Linked DNA regions of Anolis sagrei. The protein of the gene in region 1 interacts with the protein of each later gene in a biochemical or structural test. Links are inferred from orthologs where the notes say so. Each region holds a gene or a part of one and is shown in the gene's direction. Other genes may lie near its edges. The genes, in order: RAB5A and OCRL.

Region 1 (15,234 bases):
AAACAAAACCAAATGAAAACATATCACAATAAAACATAACATCATAAAAACAGTACCATACAGAACAATAAAAGTGCTGAGTTCAAAGGGCTCTGGGTTTGTGGAAATTCCTAGATAGAGCTGAGGGAAAGTGCAAAATTCAGAAAGGCAGGGCTGGGAGGATAATGTTCACGGGCATGAAAATGTCAGGATTGTAGAGCGGAGGGCCATGCTAAAGTGCTGAAACTTAGGTAACATTGGGCCAATTCTTTGGAACTGCCTAGTCAAAGGCACAGTGGAACATCCATGTTTTTAGGTTCTTGCGAAAGGTGGACAGATTAGGTGCCAGTCTGATCTCCATAGGAAGAGAGTTACAGAGGAACCACTGAGAAGGCCCTCTTCCTCGTCCCCACCAATCGCGCTTGAGACAGGCGGAAGTGAGAGAAGGGCCTCCCTGGATGATCTTAGGGCTCAGGTTAGTTCGTAGGGGAAGATGCAGTTGCAAAGATAGACAGGGCCTGAACCATTTAGGGCTTTGTAGGTAATCACCTGCACCTTGAATTGGGACCGGAAACTCATTGGTAGCCAGTGGAGCTGTTTGAACAGAAGGATTTACCGCTCCCTGGAGTTTGCTCCAGTTAGTAATCTGGCCACTGATCTTTGCACCAATTGCAATTTCCGGACCGTCTTCAGGGGCAGCCCCACAGAGACTGCATTGCAATAATCCAATCTGGAGATAACTAGGGCATGGACCACCATGGCCAAGTTGGACTTTACGAGCTACGGGCATTGAAAGTGAGGTTCTAATTGGGAAAAGGAATAGTAAAGAAGCTGACGTCAGATCATTCAAATCTATATCTAAAAATGTTTTGAATTCAGATGAAAATATATTAACCAATATTATACATTGGCACAGTGCTTCTCAGGCCCCTTCCACACAGCTGTATAAAATTCCACATTATCTGCTTTGAACTGGGTTATATGGCAGTGTGGATTCAGATATCCCGGTTCAAAACAGATATTGTGGATTATCTGCCTTGATATTCTAGGTTATATGGCTGTGTGGAAGGGCCGTGAGTTAGAAAATTATTTTTTTCCAGGGACCATTAGTTTGAGTAGCACTGCACTGGGAAGCACATCACTGTATATTCCATTTTATTTTATTTTTTAAAGATCGTCCCACTGATCCAAAGTTCATAGCTAAGCAGTCCCTATGTTTATAGTTGTCCAATTATTGTATTTACTCGAGTCTACTGCGTTGTAAAAAAAAAAAAAGAAGAAGAAGAATTTGCTAAAGAAGGAAGGAAAAGCAGTTATCTTCTGCCAGGTAGAGGCTAGAACGTTGACCAGCCTCGACTTTATGAAGGCAATGCCAGCTGAGAGGCAAAGAAGAATGGACTTGGGGAGGAAAATGAGGCTATTCCTCTGTCTCTCAGCTGAGAGGTGAAGGAAAATGGTCTTGGGGAGAGAAGGGGGAGGCATTCCTCCGTCTCTCAGCTGAGAGGTGAAGGAGAACGGTCTTGGGGAGGGAAGCAGCTGCTCCACCATCAGGTTGAGACTGGCGAGTTTGCTAGGTTCAGCCTGATGGAGGGACACAGGCACCTTTTGGCATGCAGCTGTAATGCGCCATCAAATGTAATGTGCATCTCTATTTTGGCTAAACAATTAAGCCAAAAAAGATGTGCATTGCATTAGAGTAAATACAGCAATACCTGTTTATAGATGGGCCATTGGCCTCCCCCCATTTCTGTCCAATGGGGGGGGGGGCTTCTTTGGTAAATGTCCACGGAGGTCTTGATTTGTACTTTTTCCATATTCTGTATAGGGTATAGCAGGTGGCTCTTAAAATTAGAGACAATTAATTTTTTTTCATATATTAAATATCCATGCCATCTTTATCACACAAACACTTTCTATCCATTTGCCACTGACCTGACCCATCTGTCAAAATTTAAAACACAATATATCAAAAAGTTTGTCCATGCCTGATATATACACATGATATATAATATAGAATATAACATAATATGTATATAAATGTTTTTGGGGCCTCATGAGAAACTTTTGTTTCAAAAAGCGCTGTGTAAATTCAAACTCTGTTTAATATCATAAATATGAGAACAAAAGAATGGTTGCAGAGAGTTCTCATGGGAATCGCTTTCCATTTAGCCACTGTGTGTCCATGGCTCCATCTGCTTACAGCCCTCATCAGCTGTTTCAGGATTTTAAAATGTGCACATGTGCCGGAACAGTTCACATGTGCTGGAACAGTTCGCAATGAAATTCCATGTTTCACTTGAGTGCAGGGATATATAGTAATGGGAATATGCACATTTTGGGAGCAATCTCGGATTTTAAGCGCATCTAATTCTTAACCCATGTTTTTCAGCCGATGATGCGATTCAGGGCAAAATTTGGGGAAGCGTCATCTAACACACACACACCTTATCCCAGTTTCTCTCAGGTTTTAGGGCTTGTGTAGAAGAGCCCTGAGTGAATTTCACATGTTTCACATAGCCAGTGTGTAAGTCATACTGAAGCCATACATTCTTGACAGGCATTTAAAAGTGCCAGTTGGATCTTGAAGCCTTGGGGTCTGTGCAGGAAAAGAGGAAGAGGACTACACTATAGAATTAATGCAGTTTCACATCACTTTAAGTGCCATGGCTCAATTCTGTAGAATCATGAAAGCTGAAATGTGGTGAAGTGCCAACATTCTTTGGTAGAAAAACTACAACTCCATGATTCCAGAGCATTGAGGTATGGCAGTTTATTTTATGTGGAACCATATTCATTCTACCATGTAAACGCAGCTCAGGACTAGATTCCAGGCCAAAGCCTGGAACCATGAAGAGGAACGAAGATGGCCCCATCTTCTGACACTCATCATTCCACAGTAGGTTAGTAAGTGGGAATCCACACCTATATTCTAATCCACAGAATGTGTGACTGACTATAAATGTATAACAACAATTTATTCTCCATTAAGCAGCATTAAATATTTCTAAATAACATTATCCAATCAAGGAACTAAGGTGTCATTAAGTCATTATTTTTTTCACAATGTAAAGCTTCTGCTTCATCTGGTTTACTCTACACATTGTTTCTAATAATAATAATAATGCATTGATGAATGTGATAGTGCAGTGTTGAGCAGGTAATTCCTGTTTTGCCTGCCAAGCTACTTCCACAGCCATCTCATATCTAGTCCATTGCTCAGCTCTTTATCTTTTGCACTGAGTTGTTAGCTTTTCTTTCTTTCCATCTTCTTGCTCGATCTTGATAAATATAACAACATTTGCTTCCATGTCAAAGTGTTACAAAGTCACCTTCAGTTTAGGCTCGACATGTTTACTTTAAAAAACTGCCATGGGTATATTTTTATTCGAAGATGATATCATTTTAATTATAGTTACTACAGTAATATAAATGGCACAATTCCAACCGAATGTTACCGCAAAGGCTATGCGTCACTATGTTGGTTGTTAATTGCTATGTTAATTGCTTACAGGAAGTATATCACTGAGTTAACTAGTTTGTTATTAATTTCTTCCTCTCCTCTGCAATCAGTATTGGGAATTTAATGTGTTGCTATGAAACAAACAGTGAAGAAAATATCTAGTATGCTGTGTATATACCAACATCCAAGGACAAATTGGATTGTAACAATGCAAAATGCAAATAATAATAATAATAATAATAATAATAATAAACCTTTATTTGTACCCCGCTACCATCTCCCGAAGGACTCGGTGCGGCTTACAAGAGGCTGAGCCCAAATACAATAGTAAAAACAATAACAACAACAGCAAAATAACTCAAAAACAAAGCAATAACATTAAAAACACACAATGACGCAATTAAAATCAGTGGCAGGACCAAATGTAAGAATTTAAGTTAAATGGCGGTATTATTTGAGATTATTTGTAATGCATATAGATAAAATATGCCTTTCATGGAAATTATATTTCATGGGAGTTGGACTGGATGTCCCTTGTGTTCTCTTCCAACTCTATGATTCTATGATTGATTGAGATACATGCAATTTAAAAACAAGATGACAGAGATGGTATAGATGTCAGAAGTTAGAAAAATAACATCAATTATAAGTATCTCATTGAATACATTAGTTGAAATATACATTGAATCTAGTTATAAGATATGTATACACACACACATATACTAGCTAACCCCTGCTGTGGCCCAGTCTGTGTATATGTGTTTTGTGTGTGTGTGTATGTGTTTATATATTTGTGTATATGTGTATATATGTGGTTATACGCATGTGTTGTAATGCATTTTTTTTCTTTTTTGGATTTTCAAGTCTCTTCCATTGTATTTTCCAGTGTTTTTATGAGTGATGGTCACTTGTTGGCCTGATAGGTGTGTTGTGTCCAAATTTGGTATCAATTTGCCCAGTGGTTTTTGAGTTATGTTAATCCCACAAATAAACATGACATTTTCATTTAGATAGATACACATACACACACACTGTTTTGAGGTACTTAAAGATGTCTTCACTTTTCAAAAGCAGAAAAATAAATAGGTCAACAACTTTACACATGTCAAAATTACTGGAACTATCAGAAGATATGTATGATCTTAACAATGGCCCATAACATGAAAGACCAAATGTAATTTCTGACCTAAAATGAAGTAGACTCTTTTAATCAACTTCTAAAAGTTACATCAGTACTTGACTTCATACTTGTCTCACTGTCCCAATGGATCTACTTAGTTGAAACTAACACCAGCATTTACATCAAGGAAATATTTAGCACTTGCCTTTATGGATTAGAACACATTTTCTAAAACAACAGATTCCAGACAGGTCCTTGTTCCAGAAGCATCCGCGTTAAAATAACACTGATATTTCTGGGGGCCTGTCCATAACCCCCCCCCCCCCCGAAAGAACGCACTTTCTGGAGTTGGTTGTTCACACGCTATCTCAGGACTAGCCCGAGAGAACATGTGGAGGCCCTACCTCCCTCCACCAAGCCCCCAGACTCCTTAGAAAACTAAGAAAAACTTAAGTGCCCTCCATTTGAAGCCCCGGCGGGCTCTCCCGGCACATAGAAATAGCGCGCCAAGAAAGGGAGAGGGGAGCGAATAAATCCACTATCAAATTAATTCATTACAAAACAGGATTTTCCTGGTTTGTAGTGAAATAATGTGGGACTGTCCAGATCATTGTCTGAACAGCCCCGCCTTTATTTCGGGAGTTCTTGCAATAAAGGCCTTGTCTGGACAGGCCCTGGGTTATTTAAATACACACTCAGTTAATGTGGGATTTTCCACCTTGATATTCTGGGTTATAGGGCTGTGTGGAAGGGCCCTGGAAGAAATATATTGTAATCTATGATAAAAGATACTTCATCCTATGCATCTGAGAAAGTAGACCAAGGCCTCTTCCACACAGCTGAATAAAATCCCTCATTATCTGCTTTGAACTGGAATATATGGCTGTGTGGACTCAGATAACCCAGTTCAAAGCAGATGTTTTGGGATTTCCTGCCTTGATATTCTGGAATATAGGGCTGTGTGGAATGGCCCCCTATCCCAGGATCTGATCCCAGGTTTTCTGTTTTTCCCAGATTATCTGGCAGTGCACTCATATAATCCAGTTTAAAGCAGAAAACCTAGGATAAAATCCTGGGATATAGGGCCTGTCAGGAAGAACCCTCCTGTATCATCTAATGCCCACTTCTACACAGCTGTATAAAATCCACAATGAAAAGGATTATATGGCAAGGTCGACTCTAATCCAGTTCAAACCAGATAATGTGGATCATCTGCCTTGATATTCTGGGTTATATGGCTGAGTGGAAGGGTCAGCACTTTGAATCAATTTGGACTTAAACTGACAATCTAATGCAGTGGATCCAGCATCAGTCCCTCATGGATGTCTTTGAATGCTGCCTCCATATGAAGCCATTGCGGTTTAGTGCTGGCGTTGGCCTATAAAGCCCTTAAAGGTTCTGGCCCAGTTTACCTGTCCGAACATATCTCCTGCTACGAACCACCTAGGACCTTAAGATTGTCCGGGGAGGCCCTGCTTGCTGTTCCCCCACCATTGCAATCGTGTTTGGTGGGGACAAGAGACAGGGCCTTCTCTGTGGTGGCCCCTCGGCTATGGAATTCCCTCCCAAGTGAAATCAGATCCGCTCCTTTCCTCCTGACCTTTCGGAGAAAGGTGAAATCCTTGCTATCTGATCAGGCCTTTGCAGACTAGACCGACGTGATAGTTGAGCTATGGTTTAATGGACTGTGGTGGATTATTGTTCTAATGTTTTACTGTTTTTTATGATGTTTTTATGTTTTATACTGTTTTTACCGAAGATGTATATTTATGCTTTTGTAGTCAGCTGCCCAGAGTCCCTCTGTGGAGATCGAGATAGGACGGTTTATAAATGTCCGAAAAATAAAAATGTAATGTTCGTTTGTAGGATTAACATAACTCAAAAACCACGGGACCAATTGACACCAAATTTGGACACAATATACCTATCAGGCCAGCAAGTGACCATCACTCATAAAAACACTGAAAAACACAGCAGAAGGGATTTAAAAAGCCAACCCCCCCCCAAAAAAATTGCATTACAACACATGCACAAAACCACACATATATATATACAAACACAGATATATACAGTGTTGTGTTAGGCGATCCCTCGTAGTCCGAGGGTGGTGGTCCTCCAAGAGTGGTAACCGGAGGGGGGTGGATTCGTAGGTGGCTGTGGAGCCCTATTGTTGATCTGCATCTTCTCCCGCAGTGAGGGCATCGGTTTCCAGGTGGGAGGTGGTCCCAGTCGGGGTTGGCTTGACGCGCCTTCCTCTTGGCACGTTTTTCTCTTTTGCCCTCCATTTGTGCCTCTTCAAATTCTGCAGCACTGCTGTTCACAGCTGACCTCCAGCTGGGGTGCTCAAGGGCCAGGGCTTCCCAGTTCTCAGTGTCTATACCAGAGTTTTTAAGGTTGGCTTTGAGCCCATCTTTTAATCTCTCATATATATATATATACACACACACACACACACACACATACACACACAAAACACATACAGACTGGGCCACAGCAACGCATGGCTGGGGGCGGCTAGCAAATAAATAAATAAATAGCGAAGCAGCAGTACACCTTGGAGAAAGCTTTGTTGTTCATTCGTTCAGTCGTCTCCAACTCTTCGTGACCTCATGGACTAGCCCACGCCATAGCTCCCTGTCGGCCATCACCACCCCCAGCTCCTTCAAGGTCAGTCCAGTCACTTCAAGGATGCCATCCATCCATCTTGCCCTTGGTCGGCCCCTCTTCCTTTTGCCTTCCATTTTCCCCATCATAATTGTCTTCTCTAGGCTTTGCTGTCTCCTCATGATGTGCCAAAGTACTTCAACTTTGTCTCTAGTATCCTTCCCTCCAATGAGCAGTCGGGCTTTATTTCCTGGAGGATGGACTGGTTGGATCTTCTCGCAGTCCAAGGCACTCTCAAAACTTTCCTCCAACACCACAGTTCGAAAGCATCAATCTTCCTTCGCTCAGCCTTCCCTAAGGTCTAGCTCTCACATCCGTAGGTTACTACAGGGAATACATTAATAATATTACAATATAATGGTATAGTGCAATATAGTAATATATACTGATATTGTACTATGCTAATAATATAATATATTGCATGTATATATACCTTGTAAGCCGCTCTGAGTCCCCTTCGGGATGAGAAGGGCGGCATATAAATGCCGTAAATAAAGAAATAATAAATAAATACCATGGCTTTGACTATGCGGATCTTTGTTGCTAGTGTGATGTCTCTACTCTTTGGAGAAAGTTAGAGACCTTGTAAATCTGCAATTCCCATAATTTCCATAGCATTGAGCCATGGCAGTTATAGCGGCATCAAACTGCATTTAATTCTACACTGTAGACGCGGGTGAGGAATGACTGCACTTCAAAGGCCGGCACTCGGAAGTGCGGGCCCTTTAAGAGGAGACCGGCTCCGAAATCCCAAAGGGAGGGGGAAGAGGTTGAGACGGGAAGCGACCGCACTCCAGACTCAAGCGTTGCCTCCCTTTGGGCCCCGCCCAGCCATCCCACAATCCGTAGCGCGAGCCGGGCGCTCCTTCGGGCAAACAACGGCCTGAGGACACGTGACCGCGTTCGAAGCGGAAGTGTTCGAAGGCGGGCACGGTGACGTGGCGAGAGGCGGCGGCGCCGGAAGTGACGTGATTGTGTTTTGGTCTGGGAAGAGGAGGAGGAGGAGGCAAAGACGGAAGTTGGAGGCCGCGTTCTTTCCCCCCTCCCCCCCGTGAGGTTCGGCAAAGGCCCGCTCCCTCTTCCCCGACCGGAGCAGACGAGCCGCGGGGGCTTCTTTCTTCGCTCCTTCCGGGAGAGGAAGTGGCCGTTTCCCCTCGCAGTCAGGTATCGAGAGGAGGCGGGAGAGAGGGGACTGGGATAGGCCTTTGGGAAGCGGGCGGGCGAGCGGGGCCCTCGGCTCCCGCCTGCTCTTTTCCGCGGAGGGTGCGGCGTCGGCCACGGCTAAGTGGGCCATGGGCCGGCTTCCTTTCCACCCTCAAAATGGCGCCCCGAATTCTCCCACTTCCTCTTCTTCCCGTGTCGGCGAGCGAGGCGGGGCCGCCGCTGGGTTGAGGGGGGCCAGCGAAGCCTGGGTTTGGGGCCCAGGCGAGGGCCAGGAAGGGGACGGCGGCAATTTCCTCCTTCCTTCCTTCCTTCCTCTCACCCTCCCTAAGCTTGACTCTCCTTTCTCCAAAGAAGGAGGTCAAAGGGGGCTGTCAGTTTCCGGGGGCCCTTCCACACAGCCTTATATCCCAGAATGTCAAGGCAGAAAATCCCACATTATCTGCTTTGAACTGGAATAGATGGCAGTGTGGGCTCAGATAACCTAGTTCAAAGCAGATATTGTGGGGTTTTCTGCCTTGATATTCTGAGCTATAGGGCTGTGTGGAAGGGCCCCAGGAGACCCCAGAGACAAGAGATCCACTTTCCTTTCAGGCCTCCTATTTTAGGCTTCTGTAAACCGAGGGCCAGGAAAGGCATGTGAGGCTCCGTGGAATGAAACATCGGTGGAAATAGGGCATGTGTTTAGGCAGGACTTGTGTTTAAATGTAAAAGTTTACAGCAGAGCTTTCCAAACATTTTGATGTTGGTGCCACACTTTTTAGAGACTTGTCAGTAATGAGGAGAAATGGTTTGTATTGGTTTTATTGCTTTTATGGTTGTTTTTGCCTTACAATAATTATTGTTTTCTGTTAATTGATGTTATTGCTAGAATTGTTGTTTTCTGTTAACTGATGTTATTTGTCTTATTGTTGTTATGTGATGCGGGCATCAAATTGTGCCTTGCTTTTGTAAGCTGCCCTGAGTCCCCTCCGCGGTGAGAAGGGCAGGGTAGAAGCAACCGAAATAAATAAATAAATAAATAATTCAGTTTTACTAGCAAACCCCTGATAAGGGATATTGACACATGCATACATTGTAATTATGAAATGTGTGGGAACGCAGCATATCTTATGACAACATGTCATTTCTTGTTTAAAAAATATATGATTTATTGCTCATGTCACATAGATTCAGAGGTTTCTTCTTACGTTCACCAAACACATCCACATGCTGCAGCTGGCACACTAATGTGTCTCAACTCAGAGTTTGGAAAGCTCTGGTCTAGGGATTCTTTCAGGATTTGGTATAAAAGAGTTGACATCATACTGTAACTCTGAACATGAAAAATGCATTTTCAGAGAGTTCATGAGGTTTAATTGGTAGCTTTGAATCAAAACCCATTCTTCAGTGGTTTTTTAGGCAGTAAGCAATACGAGGAATGATCAGAGTCATGTGCAATAGATATGGATATTTGGATCGCCCATGGGCTAGGATTGTTGGATTGTGTGATTTTAATATTAATATGTTTTAAACTCCATGTTTAAAAGTTATTGCGTTTTTATATTTAATTATGTAAAGAAATTAATTATGCATGTTATTACTGTTTTATGTTAGGTTTTTATGTATGTGAGACATTGAATTTTGCTGTATATATGTTGTAAATCGCTTTGAGTCCCCCACGAGTGAGAAAAGTGGTATACAAATGAAGTAATTGCATTCTGCCATAGGGTTATCATTGCTTCTGGATTGTACTGTCTCTTCTATAACTAGTGTGTTTCTTTATCGAGAGTACCAAATTGTAGGATGACTTTTTGCTACTTCTGAACTCATGCCTCCAAGGGCAGAGTTAAATCTATATCTTGCTGTACACCAGATCTAGTTCCACTTTGTATCTTATGTTAGAAGGTGAGCAAGGACAGCTCTACTTCATACTTGGAGGAGAGATCAACAACAAATACCTAGGTTCTACAGGCAATATTTTAGGAAAGGAACTAGCAAATAAAATCATTGCCTAGGAAAATCCTATGAAATTCACAGGGTCACATACACAGTTGAAATAGTCCATCATTCAAATCTGTAGAAATGCAAAAAGGCAATGTTGGATGTTTTTTATCTTCTAAATATGATTTTCACATTTATATTTTTGTTCCTTAAAGTGTTTGGTTTGTTCGGATTTTTTTTTAAAAAAAATTAAAATATGCTCATTTCTGTTTTTACACATTTGCTGCCATTTATTAGTTGAATAAAAGCAAAACTACTTAGGAATTAATTTTTAGTCCCTATTACTTCAGAATTTCCCTGAATTGATCCATCAGTGCTGTATTATAGATTCTATTTGCTTAGTTAAAATTGATTAAATAGGACTTTTTACCTTTCAAAGCCACTTTGTGGTTTTAGTCTATTACTTTGATTTTGTCCAGCAGTCATATTGTTCCTAAAAATGATGCATATATATGACATAATTTGCTGTTGAATAAACAATTATCTGTAAAGTATCCAAAAGCTGATGTGAATTGGAATGCACATTGTCTTGTAAATCAAATGATTTTAATTGTAGTGAAACTTAACATTTCTGAGTAAATATGGTTAATGTATTAGTCTGCTAAAACCATTAAGTCAGTAATTTAAATTTAACAAATTTGTTCAATAAGGACATTATCACCCGGGCTATGACTTCACTTGTAAATAAAAACAGTAAGTCACGTGAACGTACTGTATATGTTCATGTATAAGTCAACCTCAGTTATAAATTGAGGGTAGGTTTGGCACCAGAATTATGGATTTCGATATGACCCATGGATAAGTCACGAGTCATTCCACAAAAAGGGAAAGGCAACTGCCACCTCTTGCCAGTGCTGCCATCGCTGTCATTTCCCCACCTAGGTATTACTGCAATGTTCTATTCTTTCCCCCATGCTTTCCTACATTTACATGAAACTGCTGGGCGAGGTCATCTGGAATTTTGGAGTTGAATGTCATCTCTACACAGATGACACACAACTCTACTGCTCTTTTCCACCCCATTCCAAGGAATCTCCACAGATCATGGACTGGTGCCTGGCAGCTCTGATGGACTGAATGAGGGCCAACAAGCTGAGGCTTAATCCAGACAAGACAGGTTCTCCTAGTCAGTCACGAGGACAATTGGGTTATAGGATGGCAGTCTGAACTTGATGGCGTTACACTCCCCCTGAGGACACAGGTCCGCAGTCTGGGGGTTCTTCTGGATTCAGTGCTGATGCTTGAAGGTGTCGGCGGTGACTGGTAGGGCCTAAGCACAGTTAAAACTGGTGCGCCAGCTGTGACCGTACCTCGAAAAGACTGACTTGGCCACTGATCTACACCTTAGTTACATCTAGAATGGACTACTGCAGTGCACTCTACGTGGGGCTGCCTTTGAAGACGGATTGTAAACTGCGGTTAGTGCAAAGGTCGGCAGTCAGATTGCTAACTAGGACTAGGCATAGGGAGCATACGATCTCCCTATTAAAGCAGTGGCTGCCAATAAGTTTCTGGGCCCAATTCAAAGTACAGGTTATTATCTATAAAGCCCTATACGCTTCAAGTGCAACTTGTCTTCAAGGCTGCAACTCCTCCATGAACTGGCACGGGCTCTAATATCTACCAGGGAGGCCCTCCCCTTGGTCTCACCTCCGTCTCAAACGCGATTGGTGGGGATGAAAAGGGGAGCCTTCCTGGTGGTGGTACTCCGGCTTTGGAATGCCCTCCCGAAAGGGATTAGGTTAGCTCCCAAGTTGAAATCTGAAAACATGGCTTTTCTAACAGGCCTTCAACCATGATTAGAATCTTAACTTAAATTCGAGGTATTTTGTTTCACTTTGTTTGCACTTTATGGGATTGATACTTGAATATATCCTATTTTATATCCGCAGCCACTTATATGATATTTATGTAAAATTGTTATGTAAATTTACACTGTTATTGTCTTATAGGCTCATGTACTATTGTGTTTTATGTGTGTTGCACTTTTGAGTGCTTTTGTGAGCTGCCCCGAGTCCCTTTGAGGAGATGGTGGCATGATTTTTCAGTATAATAGAATTCAAAATAGTGTTAATTACATAGGAATCTGGACCTCACAACAGGCTAACCTGACAAATGAAAGATCATTACATGTTTACGCAAACAAATCTCAGTGCAGGAGACAATGACATTATTTATTGTTTTGCCTTTTTAAAATTTTCATAGCTCACCTTATTAAAAACTACTTGTGACCCCATTTGGGATAGCAACCCATAGGTTGGGAACCATTGGTCTAAAGCAACCAAGAATCTTGTATTTTGTTCTTAAATTACTAAAAAGTATATTGGGTATCCTAGAACCTATACCAGAAAGTTCAAGTTTCAGACACAACTCTTTTCTTTTTGCAGAGGGACTGCACTTAAAGGAGGTGTAAGTGGTAGTAATTCTGTTGCTGCTTTATTTTTTTGTGAACAGGCTAATTGGTTCATCTGGATCAAGGAGAATCCTTAGTTTTCAAAATCCAGATCTACAGATGCCAGAATCCTTTGTCAACAACTGTGCTGTACAGAGTGGCCGAGAGACATGCCACTTCATCACACTAGAGAAAAAATCCACTTAAAATCTAGTTTCTGCCTCCTGCAGAATTCTTGGGTTTGTAGTTTAGTGCAGCTGTTAAAGGCTCCTCCCTAAACTACAAACCCCAGAATTCTGCAGGAGGCAGAAACCAGATTTTAAGTGGATTTTTTCTCTAGTGTGATGATGGTTATAATCTATAAACATCTGGAATAATAAGAAATTGTATTGGCTATTTACTCCCTCATTACTAAAGGTGGGGTACAACATTGTTAAAGTACATAGATACAACATAAACTAGATATAGTAAAAAAAAGAACAAAGATTAAAATACCAATACTAACAAAATATAAATTTCAGATTGATTACAATTGAATCAGTAGGCCTACCAGAAGAGATAGGTCTTTAATTACGTCTTAAATTTTGAGATCTTGTTTTGCTATCAAATCACTTTTGACAGGTCCTCCAACAGTCTTGGAGCAGCTGATGAAATTGTTCTCAGGGTGACAGTTCTCATTCAGGTTCTGGCTGGTTGGTGTAAATATCCCCCTGAGGATCTAAGTGTCTGTGGTGAATTGTACAAAAGAAGGCAATCCAGTAGGTAGCCTGGACCCAAACAATGTAGGCTTTAAACATCAAAACCAACACTTTGTATTTTCCCAGGAACCAATTGGCCAGCAGTGGAATGATTTTAGTATAGGTGTAATATGCTCACTCCTAGATGTACTCAAAGTCAATCTGACAGACATGTTTTGAACTAACTCTGCATGGTAGAGAGGTAGTCTAATGTACAGAGCATCACAGAAGTCCAAACTTGAGGTTGCCAATGTGTGCACTACCATCTTTAGGTCTTCTAATTTTAGGAAGGGGCACAGTTGGAATATCAGTAAAAGCTGGTTATAAGAACTCCTGACATCTACCTGGGCTGACATTTGGAGAATCAGATCCAGGAGCACTCTCAAGCTGTGAACACAGCATTATGGTTGACATGTGTTCAATTTGAGATTAGGACCTTTAAAGTCTGTGTCTCTGTTTTATCTGGTTTAGCAACATTTGTTTCGTTTTTTTCCTCATCCAGCCCATTACCTCCTCCAGGCATTCATTCAGAGGAGGTGCACTATCCTTAGCTTAGGCTGTTTTTGAAGTAATTGAGAAAAATATTTAGATATCATCAGCAAATTGATAGCACTCTGCTCTATGCCTCTGGAGGGTGTTTAATGCCATCTTCCGGAAATTGCCATAAACTAATCAATTTATGGCATTTTCTGAAAGATGGCATTAAAATACCATTTCTCTGTCTAGCCCAGCATAGGAAATTCTAATAGTTTATGTTCACAATTCCATTTTTTCACAGTGTTCTCAATGGCAATTGTGTTATAAAATTCCATTATCTTCTGACCAACTTTGAAGCATTCTTTTATGAGACTGCAAATTTTATCCTTGAGATTTGTAACTTTTAAGTATTTTTATCAGTGACTTCCTCTTGTTATATATACCTGTGTTGCGATTTTGTTGTTGTATGCCAATAAAGGCTATTTGTATCCTCTTCTCTCAGGACATAAACATTTAACATTTCTGGGTTACTTATGTAGATGTTAAAAGAAAATGATATGTTTTGATGAGGAATGCCTCATCTTAAAACAGATTAAAATTGACTATCCAATACCAAATTTCAAATTCAATAAATTAAAGTACAGTAGGTAGATTTTTGTTGAGAATTGCTTAGTATTTGTGCATGCCCATTGGAATTTGACATTTTTCTCAGAAAGGGTGTCTTTATGTTTTATCACATTTTTGAAACTTCAATTGGTTTTTAAAGCTGTTTCGCTATATGATCTGGTAGGGGTCTTTTTAATATCCTAATAGAGTTAAAAGGCCAGTCATTTATGTGACTTTTTGTACCTCAGTGATGTTTTATGTTGTATCCATAGGTTACAAATGGAGTTATGATATTCTGATAATAGATATTAGCAAGAAAATGCTGATTATTCAGAATAGTAAATAAAAATGATACTTTATGATGCACTACAAAATAATGAGCCAGTTATCTGTTCAGAGAATATGTAAGGGTCAGTTTTGGCAATGGTCAACCTTTGCCAAAATTGAGCAAAGATTTTTAATCTCATTGATAATGCTGCTCTGTGTATTGTTCTGACTTGTTATGCTTGAGGTTAAGCTGTAATTGTGATCAAACAAATGAGAGAAGGCACTGATTAAGATACTTAGAATTCAAGTTCTGTATAATGTTTGAAGTTAAAATGATGGCTTGTACAAATGAACTTCCCTTCAAGGGAGATTGCTGTGAATTTTCTGA
Region 2 (16,135 bases), on another chromosome or scaffold:
TCACAAATACAGCAACCCTCTCCCAAGCCATTCAGTTGGAGAATGCAATCTTAAAAGAAGAATGGTGTCAGGAGAGAGGGAGGGAGGAAGGCTTGATAACGCTTGGCACAAGGAGCGAAGGGGGAAAAGACAACAAAGCATCCGCTCGCCTCCTTGAAACCCAGCTGCACATCCTGCTCATAAATACATTCTAGAAGCATATTTTCCAATGGCGCCTTTACCGTTAAAGAGAAGGCTTAAGGTAAAACCAGGCTTCTTTCTCCATCTAAAATATTATCTCCTCCACCACACGGATTACCATACCAGTTTAAACATGGTAGCCCGTCAAAGCCCTAGATATAACATGCTGCGTAATATTTCCACTAATAGTGGCTGCTTTTTACTATTCCATTCCCACGGGCAGTTCCAGATTTCCTTATGGGTGGGAGGATGCCTTCATTTAATCCCCATCTTCATGCTAATGCTACTACTAGATCTTCATTCCTTTCTTTTCTGGATCTTTTCCACATCAACTCTTAAAATAGTATTAAGGATCCTGCTGTACTCAACAGCATGTTCGTTTCCCTAGTTGGCTGTCTCCTTGGGAAAGACAAGGCTCTGGTTTCCAGAATGAGGGAAGCATTGGATGCATATGGTTTTTTGCAACAAGAATGGGATCCATGTTGCATCCAACATTCTCCTGCCTCAATTTCTTCTACCAACAACCTTGTGAGTTAAGTTAAGATAGATTAGGTGAAAGCCCTTTAACAAAATTAGGTGAAAATACAAAATTAGGTGAAAGCCCTTTAACAGTTCCTAGAGATTTGATCACATTATTGATCCTGGGTGACTAACTACGAGTCCCCCCCCCTTCCTCAATGGGGCACCCTTTTGAATCTTGAAGGTGAAGGAGATGGAGAAGGAGACAGAGATGAAGAAGTTGAAGATGAAGGTGGAGAAGAAAGGGAAGGAGATGGAGAAGTTGAAGGAGAAGGAGAAGGAGGAGAAAGAAACTGAGACTGAGAAGGTGAAGGAGAAGGAGAAGGAGACGGAGAAGGAGACAAAGATGGAGGAGAAAGGGAAGGAGATGGAGATGGAGAAGTTGAAGGAGAAGGAGAAAGAAACTGAGACGGAGACGGTGAAGGTGAAGGAGAAGGAGATGGAGACAGAGATTGAGAAGTTGAAGTTGAAGGTGAAGGTGGAGGAGAAAGGGAAGGAGATGGAGATGGTGATTGAGAAGTTGAAGGAGAAGGAGAAAGAAACTGAGATGGAGAAGGAAATGGAGACAGAGATGGAGAAGGTAGAAGAGAAGGAGACAGAGATGTCTCCACACTCTGATAATACATAATGACAAATTTATCTCTTAAAACAATACAGATTCCTCCAACCTGCAGCTGCTCAAAGTATGTTAGACTATACTTCTGCTAAGCCTCTCCAATATAATAATTAGGCTGGTTGAAGTTGTAGTCTCACCCATCCTGAGGGTGCCTGGTTTCTGCTTAACTAGTTAACTTTTGAGACTAATCTATTGGTTCATCCAAAGGCACCATGTAGGATGCCATTATTGGACACTTTATTGTGACAAGCCTTTTCTATACCTCACTGTCCTTGTAGATGTTTACGAGGCAGGTTGATGGTGATCAAAACCTCATGGTGAACATTACATCTTGAGCCAAGAGCCTTGGTTAATTGTAGAAGTGGTTGGGGAGCATTTTGCACCAAAGTGAATAGAGCAGCTGGTCCTCCTGGCATCTCATTATGCATCTGTCTATTTCTTCATCCTCTTTTTGTATGTATTTGATGTTTTCCCTGTGTTGGGGCTGACGCATCCATAGATATGCTAGCAGACTTTGGAGATACTCCCTGCCCTGTAATTCTATTGCCTGGATTGTGTAAGGGGGAGTGTTTGTGTATGCATGGCAAAGAAAACTCATTTTGTGCAAACTCAGAATGCATGGCGCACCTGTTCCAGAGTGTCTCGGCAGATGCTTCTCTCATACCGAACATTAGAGACATTTATGAGCCAAGGCCGTGTCTAGACACTTGCCATAAAAGTCCTTAAGCATATCCACAAAAGCCAACTCCCTGTCCAGCCTGAACCATTGGCTGACACAAAAAAGCCGTGTTAAAGCTCCATAAATTTAATTGGATCCCACCTCTTTTAAGTATCTGGAGCAGGCGGTTTTAGTGAGATGTAATTAAAAGACAAAAAGATGCTGGATGAATAAGAAAGAAAGACAGCCAAGAGCAAACCAGAGCTCCGTTCAGAAAAGACCCATTCCTGGCCTTTGAGAAAGAACTTCGATGGAACCAATCATAGTCGGAGCAGAAATTGCAAACTTCTTAGAAAAGTTACTTATGCTAAAAGGTGAATGGGGGCATTGCAGAATTAATGCTATTTGGCATCATTTTAATTGCTATGGCTCAATGTTATGGAATCCTGGGATGTGTAGCTTACTGAGGCACCAGTGTACAACTCTCATCATTCCATAGAATTGAGCCATGGCAGTTAAAAGTGATATTAAACTGCATTAATTCTACAGTGCAGGTGCACCCATGGTGCCACTATTACTTATGTTGGACTACTAAGCAGCTCTCAGCACCGTTGAGCATGGGACTTACGTTTTTGCAGGGCTTGGAGCATCATTGCAAAAAGCCTAATTTGTCAAGATTAGGCAGTCTAATGCAGTTTACACAATCATTATAAGGGGAGGCGTGTAATCCATTAAATAAAGTGTTAAATCATTAGATAGCTTTGAGGGGGGAAAATTAGGACAATGTTACAATGGCTGACATCATTGACATATAGTAGCCCCAGTTTGCCAAAGGCTTATTTAAACTGACTTTTTATATATTTTGCAATTTGGAAATTTCCAGATGGTTGACTATAAACCTCCACAAAACAATTGCTATATAGGTAAGTAAAGGTAAAATTTTCCACTTGACATTAAATCTAGTCGATTCCAACTCAGGGGGGCTGGTGCTCAGCTCCATTTCTAAGCCGAAGAGCCGGCGTTGTCCGTAGACACCTCCTAGGTTATGTGGCGAACATAACTGCATGGAACGCTGTTACCTTTCCACCAAGGCAGTACTTATCGATCTACTCACATTTGCATGTTTTTGAACTGCTAGGTTGGCAGAAGCTGGGGCTAACAGCGGGAGCTCACCCCACTCTCTGGATTCAAATTGACAACCTTCTGGTCAGCAAGCTCTACAGCTTAGTGGTTTAACCTGCTGCACTTCTACAGACCCTAATTGCTATATAGGAATGGTGAAATCTGTAATGTAAAGCTCATCAAACAACGTGCATTGTTTGTGTGGATTAGAGACATATCTCTTTCACAAGTCCATCCTCTCTCTGAGAAAGATTTCTTTAGGCCCCTTTGACACTGCCATATAAAATCCAGATTTTCCGCTTTGAACTGGATTATATGACAGTGTAGACTCATATAATTCAGTTCAAAGCATATAATGTGGGTTTTCTGCTCTGATAATCTGGATTATATGGCAGTGTAGAAAGGGCCTTAAATGGACTTTGGCCTTTGATCTGCCATATGGGTTTGTTAAATAAGGATTCTGCACTGTTCCCTATTTTTTTGTGTTTAAAATGCTTTTAAATTTAATGTTTACTCCTCTTCTCAACTTTATGGTCTCACTCAGAACTGACATTTCTAGCTGCTTCTTTGAATAATGCTAAAGTAGAGAGATCCCATCACAGATCACTGCTTCTATTTCCAATCTTTTGACATAGTGCTGGGCAAAAATCAACTGAAGCGGTCAGGAAATGTGGGGATAAGTTACACTTATGCGGCCCATTGTGGCAGGGATACGCATGAAAATGATGCCATCTTCTGCAAGCTAACTGTAATGACGAGAAGAGAGTTCCTGGTATATAAGGATTTCCTTCCTTTACAATGCCCACAACTGGCAACTAAGGTCCCTTCCACACTGCCATATAACACAGATTATGACATCATATAACCCACATTATCTGATTTGAACTGGATTATACGAGTCTACACTGCCACATAATAATAATAATAATAATAATAATAATAATAGACGACTCTGCAAGGAAGCAGATGAAACAATAGATCATATCCTCAGCTGCTGCAAGAAAATTGCACAGACAGACTACAAGCAGAGGCATAACACCGTTGCTCAGATGATTCATTGGAACTTGTGCCACAAATACCATCTTCCTGCAACAAAGAACTGGTGGGATCACAAGCCAGAAAAAGTTACAGAGAATGAACACGTCAAACTACTTTGGGACTTCCGAATTCAGACTGACAGAGTTTTGGAGCACAATACTCCTGACCTCACGATTGTGTTAAAAAACAAAGTATGGATTGTCGGTGTTGCAATCCCAGATAACAGCAGGTTTGAAGAGAAACAACTGGAAAAGCTGACACAATACGAGGATTTAAAGATTGAACTGCAAAGACTCTGGCACAAGCCAGTACATGTGGTCCCAGTGGTGAGCGGCATACTGGGTGCAGTGTCTAAAGACCTTGGCCTGCACTTAAACACAATTGGCGCTGACAAAATTACCATCTGCCAGCTGCAAAAGGCCACCTTACTGGGATCTGCACACATTATTCACTGATACATCACACCTTCCTAGACACTTGGGAAGTGTCCGACGTGTGATCTGATACAACAGCCAGCAGAGTGATCTTGTCTGCTGTTGACTCATCTTGTTGTGTTTCTAATAATAATAATAATAATAATAATAATAATAATAATAATAATAATTTATATTACTCCCTTGTCCTCTAAGAGACTCAGAGTGGATTACAAACATTCAGTGCCTTTAAAATCACATGAGACACACAAACACAAACAAAGGCAAGGCTTCTCCTTTCATTTCCAGCTTACGGAGGCGGTGCTCATCTCTGGCTCTGGGGAGGTGCTTTTCTCCATTTTCAAGCTGAGGAGCTTGCGTTTTCACCTCTTGGTCATGTGTCCGGCAAGATTGCTTGGAGCGTCTCTTTGCCTTTTCCTGCCAAAGCAGTACCTATTTATCTACTCACATTTGTATGTTTTCGAACTGCTAAGTTGGCAGGAACTAGGGCTGACAGACAGGAGCTCACCCCATCTCACGGATTCGAACTGCTGACCTTCAGATCAGCAATTCAGCTAATTTTCAGGTCAGCAGTTCGGGAGCACAAGGGTGTAACCCTTTTGCACAACCACGGCCCCATAATCAAGTTCAAAGCAGATAATTTGGATTTTATATGGCAGTGTAGAAGGGTCTGAAGTCCCACTCCAACGTTATCACTTGTCCTTTGGGAATGCCATTTTACAGCATCCATAGGCAGCTCTGCCTACTGAATTTTAAACCTCGGGAAGATCATTCTCACCAAGCTTAAACACTTAATACCATAGTAGATGATACCTGTGCTTTTGTCAATGGCAGACTTTTCTGGTTGTTGAGGTAGTCAAGCTTCTCAAGTCCAAGGACAGGTAAAGTGTAGCGTTCCTTTTGCTTTTGCAGTCCAATTCTCATCATCCCTCTTCACTAGGAAAGCTCACTTTGGCTCATGGGATTTGTAGTTCCAAAGGACGACACTATCTCAATCCATTGTTGGCTTTCCCTCAAGCAGATCTTATAAGTGGACTCAAGGACTCGCTCACAGCAAACATGTCAATCTTCTCTTATGGATCTTTACCCACAATTGACAGCTGTAGCCATGTGATGCATGCACTCTTCTTGGGTCACAAAAGAGTGGCAGAGTCAATCACATTTTTGGGTGCAAAATCCCCTGGAAACTTCCGCAATGCACAAGGGTTTCAAGAAAGCCCAACTCCAGGCAAAGGAACAAACTCCAAGCAATGCTGGTTTGAGAGATAGCTTCTCTCCTTGATGAAATATAAAGTAACTTCATTCATATTCATGTCGTTGTAATCTCCAGGGTCATTCGAGCGAGGAGATGAAGCCGAAATTTACAGCACACGCCGCCACTGGTGATAGAGCGCCTGGTTTACCCATCACCAGCTCTAATTAAACAGGAAATTAAAAATGTTAACCCTGGCAGCCGCCTCTGGAGGATTCGTCAGGCATTCATCGCATCTCCTGTAAAGTTTAAAGGTGGTAAAAGAAGAAAACGTTGCTACTCTGGCATGACAGATGTGCCTTTGCATGCAAGCCAAGGTGCCATCCCATCCACTTTGAATTAGGGATCCTGAGCTTTGCTTCTGTAAGAGACGAGCATAGGGAGACAGCCTGAAATGTTGCGTAATGTTGAGATGTCTGTGATCGTTCCCTGGGTTATATTTGAAAGCAAAATGCAAGTGGAAGGAATGGCTGAGAATACTATTTCAAGGTCCATCTACACAGGCATTTGAAATCCAGATGACGTGGAACTTAGACCTCAATAAATTGAGACGGAACAGGCTGGTGAGCATTTATGCCAACTATAATTAATAAACAAAGTTGCAGACAGTTTCTATTTTAAGAATAAGGTAGAATAAAAGTACAGTTTATACACTCCAGACTTTGGAAATAGAGATCTATATAAATAAAAATGTAATGTTCATTTGTGGGATTAACATAACTCAAAAACCACTGGACGAACCGACACCAAATTTGGACACAAGACACCTCTCAGGCCAACAAATGACCATGACTCATAAAAACACTGGGAAACACCACGGAAGAAACTTTAAAAGCCAAAAAATAAAAAATACATTACAACACGTGTGCAAAACCACATATATACACATACATACACACACACAAAACATATACACAGACTGGCAGGGTACGGTTAGTCTATATAAATAAAAACGTAATGTTTGTTTGTGGGATTAACATAACTCAAAAACCACTGGACGAATTGCTGCCAAATTTGGACACAAGATACCTACTAACCCAAGGAGTGACCATCACACAAAAAAATATTTTTGTCATTTGGGAGTTGTAGTTGCTGGGATTTATAGTTTACTTACAATCAAAGAGCATTCTGTACTCCACCAATGATGGAATTTAACCAAACATGGCACAGAGGACTCCCATGACCAACAGAAAACACTAGAAGGGTTTGGTGGGCATTGACCTTGAGTTTGGAAGTTGTAGTTCACCTACATCCAGAGAGCACTATGGACTCAAACAATGATGGATTTTGGCACAAATGTTCCATATGCCCAAATATGAACACAGATGGAGTTTGGGGAAAATAGACCTTGACATTTGGGAGTTGTGGTTACTGGGATTTATAGTTCGCCTACAATCAAAGAGCATGCTGAACCCCACCAACGACAGAGTTGGGGCAAACTTCCCACACATAACCCCCATACTTAAGGCCATCCAGTCCAACTCCCTTCACTAGGGCAAGAAAACGTAATCAAAGCCCTCCTGACAAAGAGCCATCTAGTCATAGATATTGATAGATATATATGATTCACACATGGAGAGATATAGTATCATAGATTTGAAAGGGATCCCTAAAGAAGGACAATTATATGTTGCATGTTCCAGAGTAGGCAAACCAATCATCAACACTGACAAAGAAACAGCAAGAAATACTGTTTACCCACAAGCAGAAAGACATTGCGTATATTAGAAACCAACACTTTCTCATTACTTTATTTTCCAGATCACCAGACTGGGCCACAGCAATGTGTGGCAGGGGATGCCTAGTATTATATAAAAAGATAAACATTATACAGCAAGAAATGGATAAATGCCAGAAGGGACATAGAGTTTCTTCTATGCTGACGATCTTGCCATCACCGCTCAAGCTTTAGGTGCTCTTACTGCCTATTACAGGGAAAACCAGAGGATTCCTAATCCATCTAAAACACAGACGTGTGCTTTTCACCTTAAGAACAGACAAGCATCTTGGACTCTGAGGATGACCTGAGAAGGAATCCCACTGGAGCATTGCAGCACACCCAAATACCCGGGAGTCACTCTGGACTTACAAGAAGCACTGCTTGGCTAGCAAGCAAAAAGTGGGTGCTTGAAATAATATCATACGAAAGCTGACTGGCACAACCTGGGGATCACAACCAGACACAGTGAAGACATCTGCCTTTGCGCATGGCTACTCTGCTGCTGAGTTCGCATGCCCAGTGTGGAATACATCTCATCATGTTAAAACAGTTATTATTATTTCGTATCAAAAGCATTCGTATCAAATTTGGTGCCAATTCGTCCAGTGGGTTTTGAGTTATGTTAATCCCACAAACTAATATTACATTTTTATTTATATAGAAGTCTAGCCATCCCCTGCCGCGCGTTGCTGTGGCCCAATCTGTGTATATGTGCTTTGTGTGTGTACATGTGTTTATATGTGTAGGTGTACATTTATGTATTTGTGTATATATGTGTGTATATATATGGTTTTGTGCATGCATTGTAATGCATTTTTATTTTTGCTTTTTAAGTCTCTTCTGCTGTGTTTTTCATGTACACACACAAGGCACATATACTGGGCCACAACAACGCATGACAGGAGATGGCTAGTCTTCTATATAAATAAAAATGTAATACTAGTTTGTGGGATTAACATAACTCAAAAACCACTGGACGAATAAAAACAATGAAAAACACAGCAGAAGGGACTTAAAAAGCAAAAAACACAAACGAGCATTACATATTTATTTAGATAGATAGATAGATAGATAAAATAAGTAACAACAAAGTAATAAAAGGCATAATAACATAGATACTAATAATAAAGCAATAAAAGGCAGATTAAAATAAATAATAATAAAGTAATAAAAGGGATAGGAAAATAAATAATAAAATAAATAACAATAAAGTAATACAAGGCATTATAAAATAAATAATAGTAAAATAAATAATAAAGTAATAAAAGGCATAATAAAAATAATAGTAAAATAATACAAAACATAATAAAATAAATAGTAGCCAAATAATAAAAGGCATAATAAAATGAATAATAGTAAAGTAATACAAGGCATCTTGACAGATAGATAGATAGATAGATAGATAGATAGATAGATGATAGTAGCAATGAAGTAATAAAAGGCATAATAAAATAGATATTATTATTATTATTATTATTATTATTATTATTATTATAACTTTATTTGTACCCCACTAGCATCTCCCAAGGGACTCGATGCAGCTTACACAGGCCGAAGCCCCAAAAACACAATACAACAATACAATACCAAGCAAATTAAAACAGTTAAGCAGGAAAACAATAACAGTAACAATATGACGAGACACTATTAAAACTGGGCCGGCTGGGTACAGGGGTACAGGGTTAAAGTGCTGATGTGGCAGGAGGGATATGGGATTAAATATAAGTGCAGTGTGCAGTGTGCAGTGATCTTGGTTCTACTAAGGTGCTTCTAGGATTTGGTACTGGAGGTTCCTAATCTGAGAAGGCACATCAGAACAGCCAAGTTTTCAATTCCTTCCTGAAGACTGCCAATGTAGGGGCCTGTCTGAGATCCTTCGGGAGGGCGTTCCAGAGACGGGGGGCCACCACAGAAAAGGCCCTGTCTCGCGTCCCCACCAAGCGCGCTAGCGACGCGGGCGGGATCACGAGCAGGGCCTCTCCAGATGACCGTAGGGAGCGTGTGGGTTCGTAGACAGCGATACGGTCACGCAGGTAATAAAGCAACAAAAGGCAGGTTAAAAGAAATAATAATAAAAGGGATCTGAAAGGAAATAATAAAATAAATAACAACAAAGTAATACAAGGCATTATAAAACAAGTAACAGTAAAATATTTAATAAAGTAATACAAGGCATAATAAAAAATAATAGTAAAATAATACAAAACATAATAAAATAAATAGTAGCCAAATAATAAAAGGCCAAATAAAATGAATAATAGTAAAGTAATACAAGGCATCTAGATAGATAGATAGAGAGATAGATGGATAGATAGAGAGAGAGAGAGAGAGAGAGATAGATGGATAGATAGATAGATGGATGGATGGATGGATGGATGGATAGAGAGATAGAGAGATAGATAGAGAGAGAGAGAGAGAGAGATGGATGGATGGATAGATAGATAGAGAGAGAGAGAGATAGATAGAGAGATAGATGTATAGATAGATAGATAGATAGATAGATAGATAGATAGATAGATAGATGGATGGATGGATAGAGAGATAGAGAGATAGATAGATAGAGAGATAGATGGATAGATAGATAGATGGATGGATGGATGGATGGATGGATAGAGAGATAGAGAGATAGATAGAAAAGATAGATAGATAGATAGATAGATAGATAGATAGATAGATAGATAGATAGATAGATAGATAGATAGATAGATAGATAGATAGATAGATAGATAGATAGATAGATAGATAGATAGATAGAAAACTGTATTCTCCAATAGGCTTCTGCAGTGCTAGACACAGTTTCCCTCCGGCCGGCAGGGGGCAGTGTCGCATCTTCTCTCTCTGCTCCTGTCAGGCTCTTCCGTTTCCTTTTTCCTCGCGCGCGCGCGCGGCCGGGGAGTCGGGAGCGCGCCCCGAGGGCAAGCCAGGCCCAGCCAGGAACCCGCAGTGCCCGCCTTGCCTCCAGCTGCTAAGGCCTCGAAGCCTGGCTGGGCCCATGGAGCCCTCCGCGGCCGGGAAGAGCGGCCTTGCTGTATCCTTCCTGACCTGGAGCAAAAGGGGATTGGGGGGGACAGTATTGGGGGGTTAAACTGGAACGAGGTGGGGACTGGCTTGTTTGGTGCTTCTGTTGCCATGGGAAACAATGCGGGTGGGGGGGGGGGAGATGTGTATCTGTAACTGATCCTTCTCTGACAGCTTCTTATGCCTTGTATTACTTTGTTATTATTTATTTTATTATGTCTTTTATTATTTTCCTACTATTTATTTTATTATGCCTAGTATTATTTTACTATTATTTTGATTATGCCTTGTATTACTTTATTATTTATTTTACTATTATTTACTTTATAACGCCTTGTATTACTTTATTGTTATATATTTTATTATTTACTAGCGGTCCCCTGCCAGGCGTTGCTGTGGCCCACTCAGTAGATCTGGAAAATAAAGTAATGAGAAAGTTTTGGTTTCTAATATATGCAATGTCTTTATGCTTGTGGGTAAACAGTATTTCTTGCTGTTTCTTTGTCAGTGTTGATGTGGAGATTTTCTGGTTTGCCTACTCTGGAACATGCAACATATCACAGTCCTTCTTTAAGGGTCCCTTTCAAATCTTTGATACTACATCTGTCATATACATATATGTGTGTGTGTGTGAATGGCTGGATGGCATTTTGTCAGGAGGGCTTTGATTATGTTTTCTTGCCTTGGTGAAGAGAGTTGGACTGGATGGCCTTAAGGCAGCATTTCTGAACCTGGAAAGTCAAGTCCCCGGGGAGGGGGGGTCACCAGGGGGGTGTCAGAAGGATCACCCAAGACCACCAGAAAACACAGTATTTTCTGTTGGTCATGGGGGTTCTGTGTGAGATGTTTGGCCCAATTCCATCGTTGGTGGGGTTCAGAATGCTCTTTTATTGTAGGTGAGCTATAGATCCTAGTAACTACAACACCTAAATGTCAAGGTCTATTTCCCCCAAACTCCATCTGTGTTCACATTTGGGCATATTGAGTATTCCTGTCAAGTTTGATCCAGATCCATCATTGTTTGAGTCCACAGTGTTTTCTGGATGGAGGTGAACTACAATTCCAAAACTGAAGGTCAATGCCCACCAAACACTTTCAGTATTTTCTGTTGGTCATGGGAGTTCTGTGTACCAAGTTTGGTTCAATTCCATCGTTGGTGGAGTTCAGAATGCTCTTTGATTGTAGGTGAACTATAAATCCCAGCAACTACAACTCCCAAATGGAAAAATCATAATATTTTGAGTGATGGTCACTCCTTGTGTTGTGAGATGTTTTGTTGCCAAATTTGGTGTGATTTCGCTCATTGGTTCTTTTGTTTTTAAGGTACTCATTATGACCAGAGCATTTATATAGAGAGAGATTTTCATATCCCTTTTATTTCTTTATTGTTGATTTTATTATGCCTTGTATTACTTTGTTATTCGTATTATGAGTTTTAATTATTACACATTTTAACCTAATACTGACAGGCTGTAGGTTTGAATCTGAGGAGAGTGCGGATGAGCTCCCTCTGTCAGGTCCAGCTCCCCATGCGGGGAACATGAGAGAAGCCTCCCACAAGGATGGTAAAACATCCGGGCATCCCCTGGGCAATGTCCTTGCAGACAGCCAATTCTCTCACACCAGAAGCGACTTGCAGTTTCTTAAGTAGCTTCTGACACACAAAAAATATTATTCATTTTTTATTATTTATTTTATTTATATTATGCCTTTTATTACTTTGATATTATTCATTATATTATTTCTATTGTTGCTTTATTTTTACTTATTTTGTTTGCCTTGTATTACTTGGTTATTGTGCATTTTACTCCGCCTTGTATTACTTTTTATTATTATTTTATGCCTTTTATTATTTTATTATTATTTATTATGCCTTTTATTGCTTTATTATTATTTATTTTGTTATGCTTTTGTTACTTTGGTATTATTTATTTTTATTATTCTTTTTATTACTTTACTATTATTTTTATTATGCTTTTTGTCAATTTGATAGTATTCATTTTATTATGCCTTTTATTACTTTATTGTTTCCAGTACTTATTTTATTATGCCGTGTATTAATCTATTTATTATTATTATTATTATTATTATTATCCATTCTGTTATATTTTTTATTACATTAGCAGTAATTTTCCAAATCTCTTCCAAATCTAGGATTCTATGACTGTACTTTAACTACCAAACAGAGGAACGTTGTTGCCTTTGTGAGCAAGAAAAAGGGGACCACTGTCCTGATCCAGAAAATGCAGTTCTTGTGCTAATGTTGATTCTGTATATCAGATCTTAGTTAAATGCTCAAAAGCAGGCTTGACGAGATTAGCTTGTGGGAGTATTTTCCTTGGCTTTGTCTGTAACCTGTTTTATGGAAATCCTGATGGTGTTTGGCTGGGCAATTTGCTATTCCCATCATGATAATGAGGAGCATTTTTACATATTCAGCTGCAGAGCAGGTCAAGCTTGCTACCTCTGGTGGATCTGGAGTATGGGAAGGATTTGCTTTCCAACCAGTTCAGAGCAAAGCTGTAATCTTTGCTCTTTCCTAAATTGGGGGGGGGGGGGGTGGAGGTGGGGGCAGTTTTTGATACAGGAGGAAAGCCTAGTTGAAACTTTGCAGCTGCAGAGAGAGCCGTATCATTCTGAACTGAATTTCCAACAATGCTAGGAAAATGTGTGCTTGTTTTGGGAGGAGGGGGCTGGGAGCTGTTTTTTTCCCCTCCTCTCCTTTTCCTTAGCTGTTGTTCAGGGTCTGGAAGTGACTGCTGGCCGGCGAGTGCCATGTGAGCTGAGTCTGGCAAGGCTTGGTTCTGAATACAAGTGAGTAGTTGCCATTTGAGTGTGAAACATATAATGTCACCTTACTTACTTACTTACTTACTTACTTAGCCGATCCCTCTTAGTCCGAGGTTGATGGTCCTCCCAGTGTAGTATCCTGGTGGTGGGTCCATAGGTGACTGTGGAGCCCTATTTTTGATCTGCATCTTCTCCCGCAGTGAGGGCATAAGTTTCCAGGTGGAAGGCAGTCCTGGTCAGGGTTGGCTTGACTCGCCTTCCTCTTGGCACGTTTCCCTCTTTTACCCTCCATTCGTGCCTCTTCGAATTCTACAGCACTGCTGGTCACAGCTGACCTCCAACTGGAGCGTACAAGGGCCAGGGCTTCCCAGTTCTCAGTGTCTATGCCAGAGTTTGTAAGGTTGGCTTTGAGCCCGTCTTTAAATCTCCTTTCCTGTCCTCCAACATTCCATTTTCCAATCTTGAGTTCAGAGTAGAGCAACTGCTTTGGGAGGCGGTGGTTGGGCATCCGGACAACATGGCCGGTCCAGTGGAGTTGATGGCAGAGGACCATCGCTTCAATGCTAGTGGTCTTTGCTTCTTCCAGCACGCTGACATTTGTCCGTTTGTCTTCCCAAGAGATTTGCAGGATTTTTCGGAGGCAGCACTGGTGGAATCTTTCCAGGAGTTGCATGTGATGTCTGTAGACTGTTCATGTCTCGCAGGTGTATAGCAGGGTTGGGAGACAATAGCTTTATAAACAAGCACCTTGGCATCTCTATGGATGTCCCGATCCTCAAACACTCTCTGCTTCATTCGAGAAAATGCTGCACTTGCAGAGCTCAGGCGGTGGTGAATTTCAGTGTCAATGTTGACTTTTGTGGAGAGATGGCTGCCAAGGTAGCAGATATGGTCAACGTTTTCTAATGTTACACCATTAAGCTGTATTTTTGGCATTGGAGAGGGATTGGCTGGTGACTGCTGGAAGAGCACTTTGGTTTTCTTGATGTTTAATGACAGGCCGAGCTTCTCGTATGCTTCTACAAAGGTGTTGAGTGGCTTGTAGGTCTTCTTTTGAATGCACACAGATGACGTTGTCATCAGCATACTGGAGTTCTATAACAGATAATGTCACCACACACACACTTGCATATATTGTCGGAGCTGGAAGAATAAGTCTTCCCACAGCTCTCTATTTTCCCTCTTGCTTGGTCTGAGAAGGTTTGAAATAATGGCATGCTGGACAGGGCCTGGACAGCTCCCTATATATCCAGTGTGTGGCCCTTGCTTGACCAAAAGTCAACTATCATATATACATCATACTCTTTCTTCCAGGAGGAAGTTGGCTGAAACATTATTTGTTGTTATGTGTCACTTTTGGAGGTAGCAACATACAATTATATCATCGCAAAGACATTTCCTTGTGTTGTGATGTTTACATTACTCCCGCCCATTTCTTGAATTGTGATCTCATGTTATCCTTTGGAAGCTGTGTTTTGCTCAAGCAAGGGCCATGTTTCAATGCTGTGGAAACATGGGAGTGATAGTTTGTTGAGTCATAAGCATTATTTGGCAGAGAATAATAATGATATTATTTATTTATATTCTGCTTTATCTCCCTGGAGGGACTCAGTAGATTACAGTATACAGATATAAGGCAGACATTAAATTTTTTTTGCCCAGTGAACAACAATAACGTACAATACGCAAACCAAGGTAAAGGCCTTCCCCTTTCATCTCTTGTGCCTGGAGGTGTTGTTGTTCCATCTCCAGTCGTGTTTTGCCGGCATGTCTGCACGGGGCAACTTTTTACCTTCCTGCCTATTGATCTACTCGCATTACAGGTTTTCGAACTGCTAGGTTGGCAGAAGCTAGGTCTAACAGCGGAAGCTTGCCCCAACTCGTGGCTTCAAACTGCCAGCCTTCTGGTCAGCAGATTTTCTACAGCTGGCGGTTTAACCCATTGCACTACTGTGGCCCCACAAGCTAACAGTTCCTGTTATTCCATAGCAGTGAACTGTTGTAGTTAAAATGGTTAAGTTGCTATAATTCTCCTATCTAGATCAGTGGTTCCCAAACTTTTTCATTCAAGGAACCCTTTAGAATAATTTATTTTCATGCAAAACCCTAACTTTGTCCCTAAATACTGTGAACCCACAAAGTTCTTCCTTCTTTCATCTACTTCTATTGCCTGAGTGTTTTGTATATCATAGTCCGTTTAGAAATAAAAAATACAACATTTTAAATATAACAGCATTTTTTTAACTTTGGTACAAGAAAATATTGAATATAACCAAAAGCATTTATTGTGGCACAAGAAAATATTGGATTTACACCTAAAGCGATGAGCAAAATCGTTTTATTTCTGTACTTGGGATAGTTTTCAAATGGGGCTTTATGTCTGACGGCTGAATGCATAAATCCAGGGTGGTATCCAGCTTCAGGTTCTGCCAATCTAGCAGTTCGAAAACATGCAAATGTGAGTAAGTAAATAGGTACTGTTGAGACTCAGCATTCTGGTACCGCTTCAGCAGAAATGTAATGGTGCTCCATGCAGTCATGCTGGCCACATGAGTTTGGAGGTGTCTACAGACAACACCGGCTCTTCGGCTTAGAAATTGAGATGAGCACCACCACCACCCCCAGAGTCAGCCACGACTAGACTTAGTATCAAGGGAAACCATTATCCAGCTTACTATTATATTTGTTTTTTGGGTAAGCATAAACTAAAAAGCCCAGTCCGCATCAATCAGTGGATATGGATAGCCTTGTCAGCTACTGATGGGCTATTTGTCTCTTAGTCATTCAG

Evidence for each region.
Region 2: the proteins of RAB5A (region 1) and OCRL form a complex in vitro, tested with the Homo sapiens proteins (2 studies listed by BioGRID and IntAct, with this or other methods). The link is inferred for Anolis sagrei from reciprocal best matches to the Homo sapiens genes RAB5A and OCRL.

The regions. Positions count from the first base shown.
Region 1 is NC_090026.1:87,271,073-87,286,306, reverse strand, and holds the start of RAB5A (ras-related protein Rab-5A), read left to right. Parts: upstream 1-8,171; 5' UTR 8,172-8,387; intron 8,388-15,234. UniProt on the Homo sapiens protein: The small GTPases Rab are key regulators of intracellular membrane trafficking, from the formation of transport vesicles to their fusion with membranes.
Region 2 is NC_090030.1:10,860,033-10,876,167, reverse strand, and holds the start of OCRL (inositol polyphosphate 5-phosphatase OCRL), read left to right. Parts: upstream 1-10,426; 5' UTR 10,427-10,531; coding exon 10,532-10,567; intron 10,568-13,300; coding exon 13,301-13,371; intron 13,372-16,135. UniProt on the Homo sapiens protein: Catalyzes the hydrolysis of the 5-position phosphate of phosphatidylinositol 4,5-bisphosphate (PtdIns(4,5)P2) and phosphatidylinositol-3,4,5-bisphosphate (PtdIns(3,4,5)P3), with the greatest catalytic activity towards PtdIns(4,5)P2.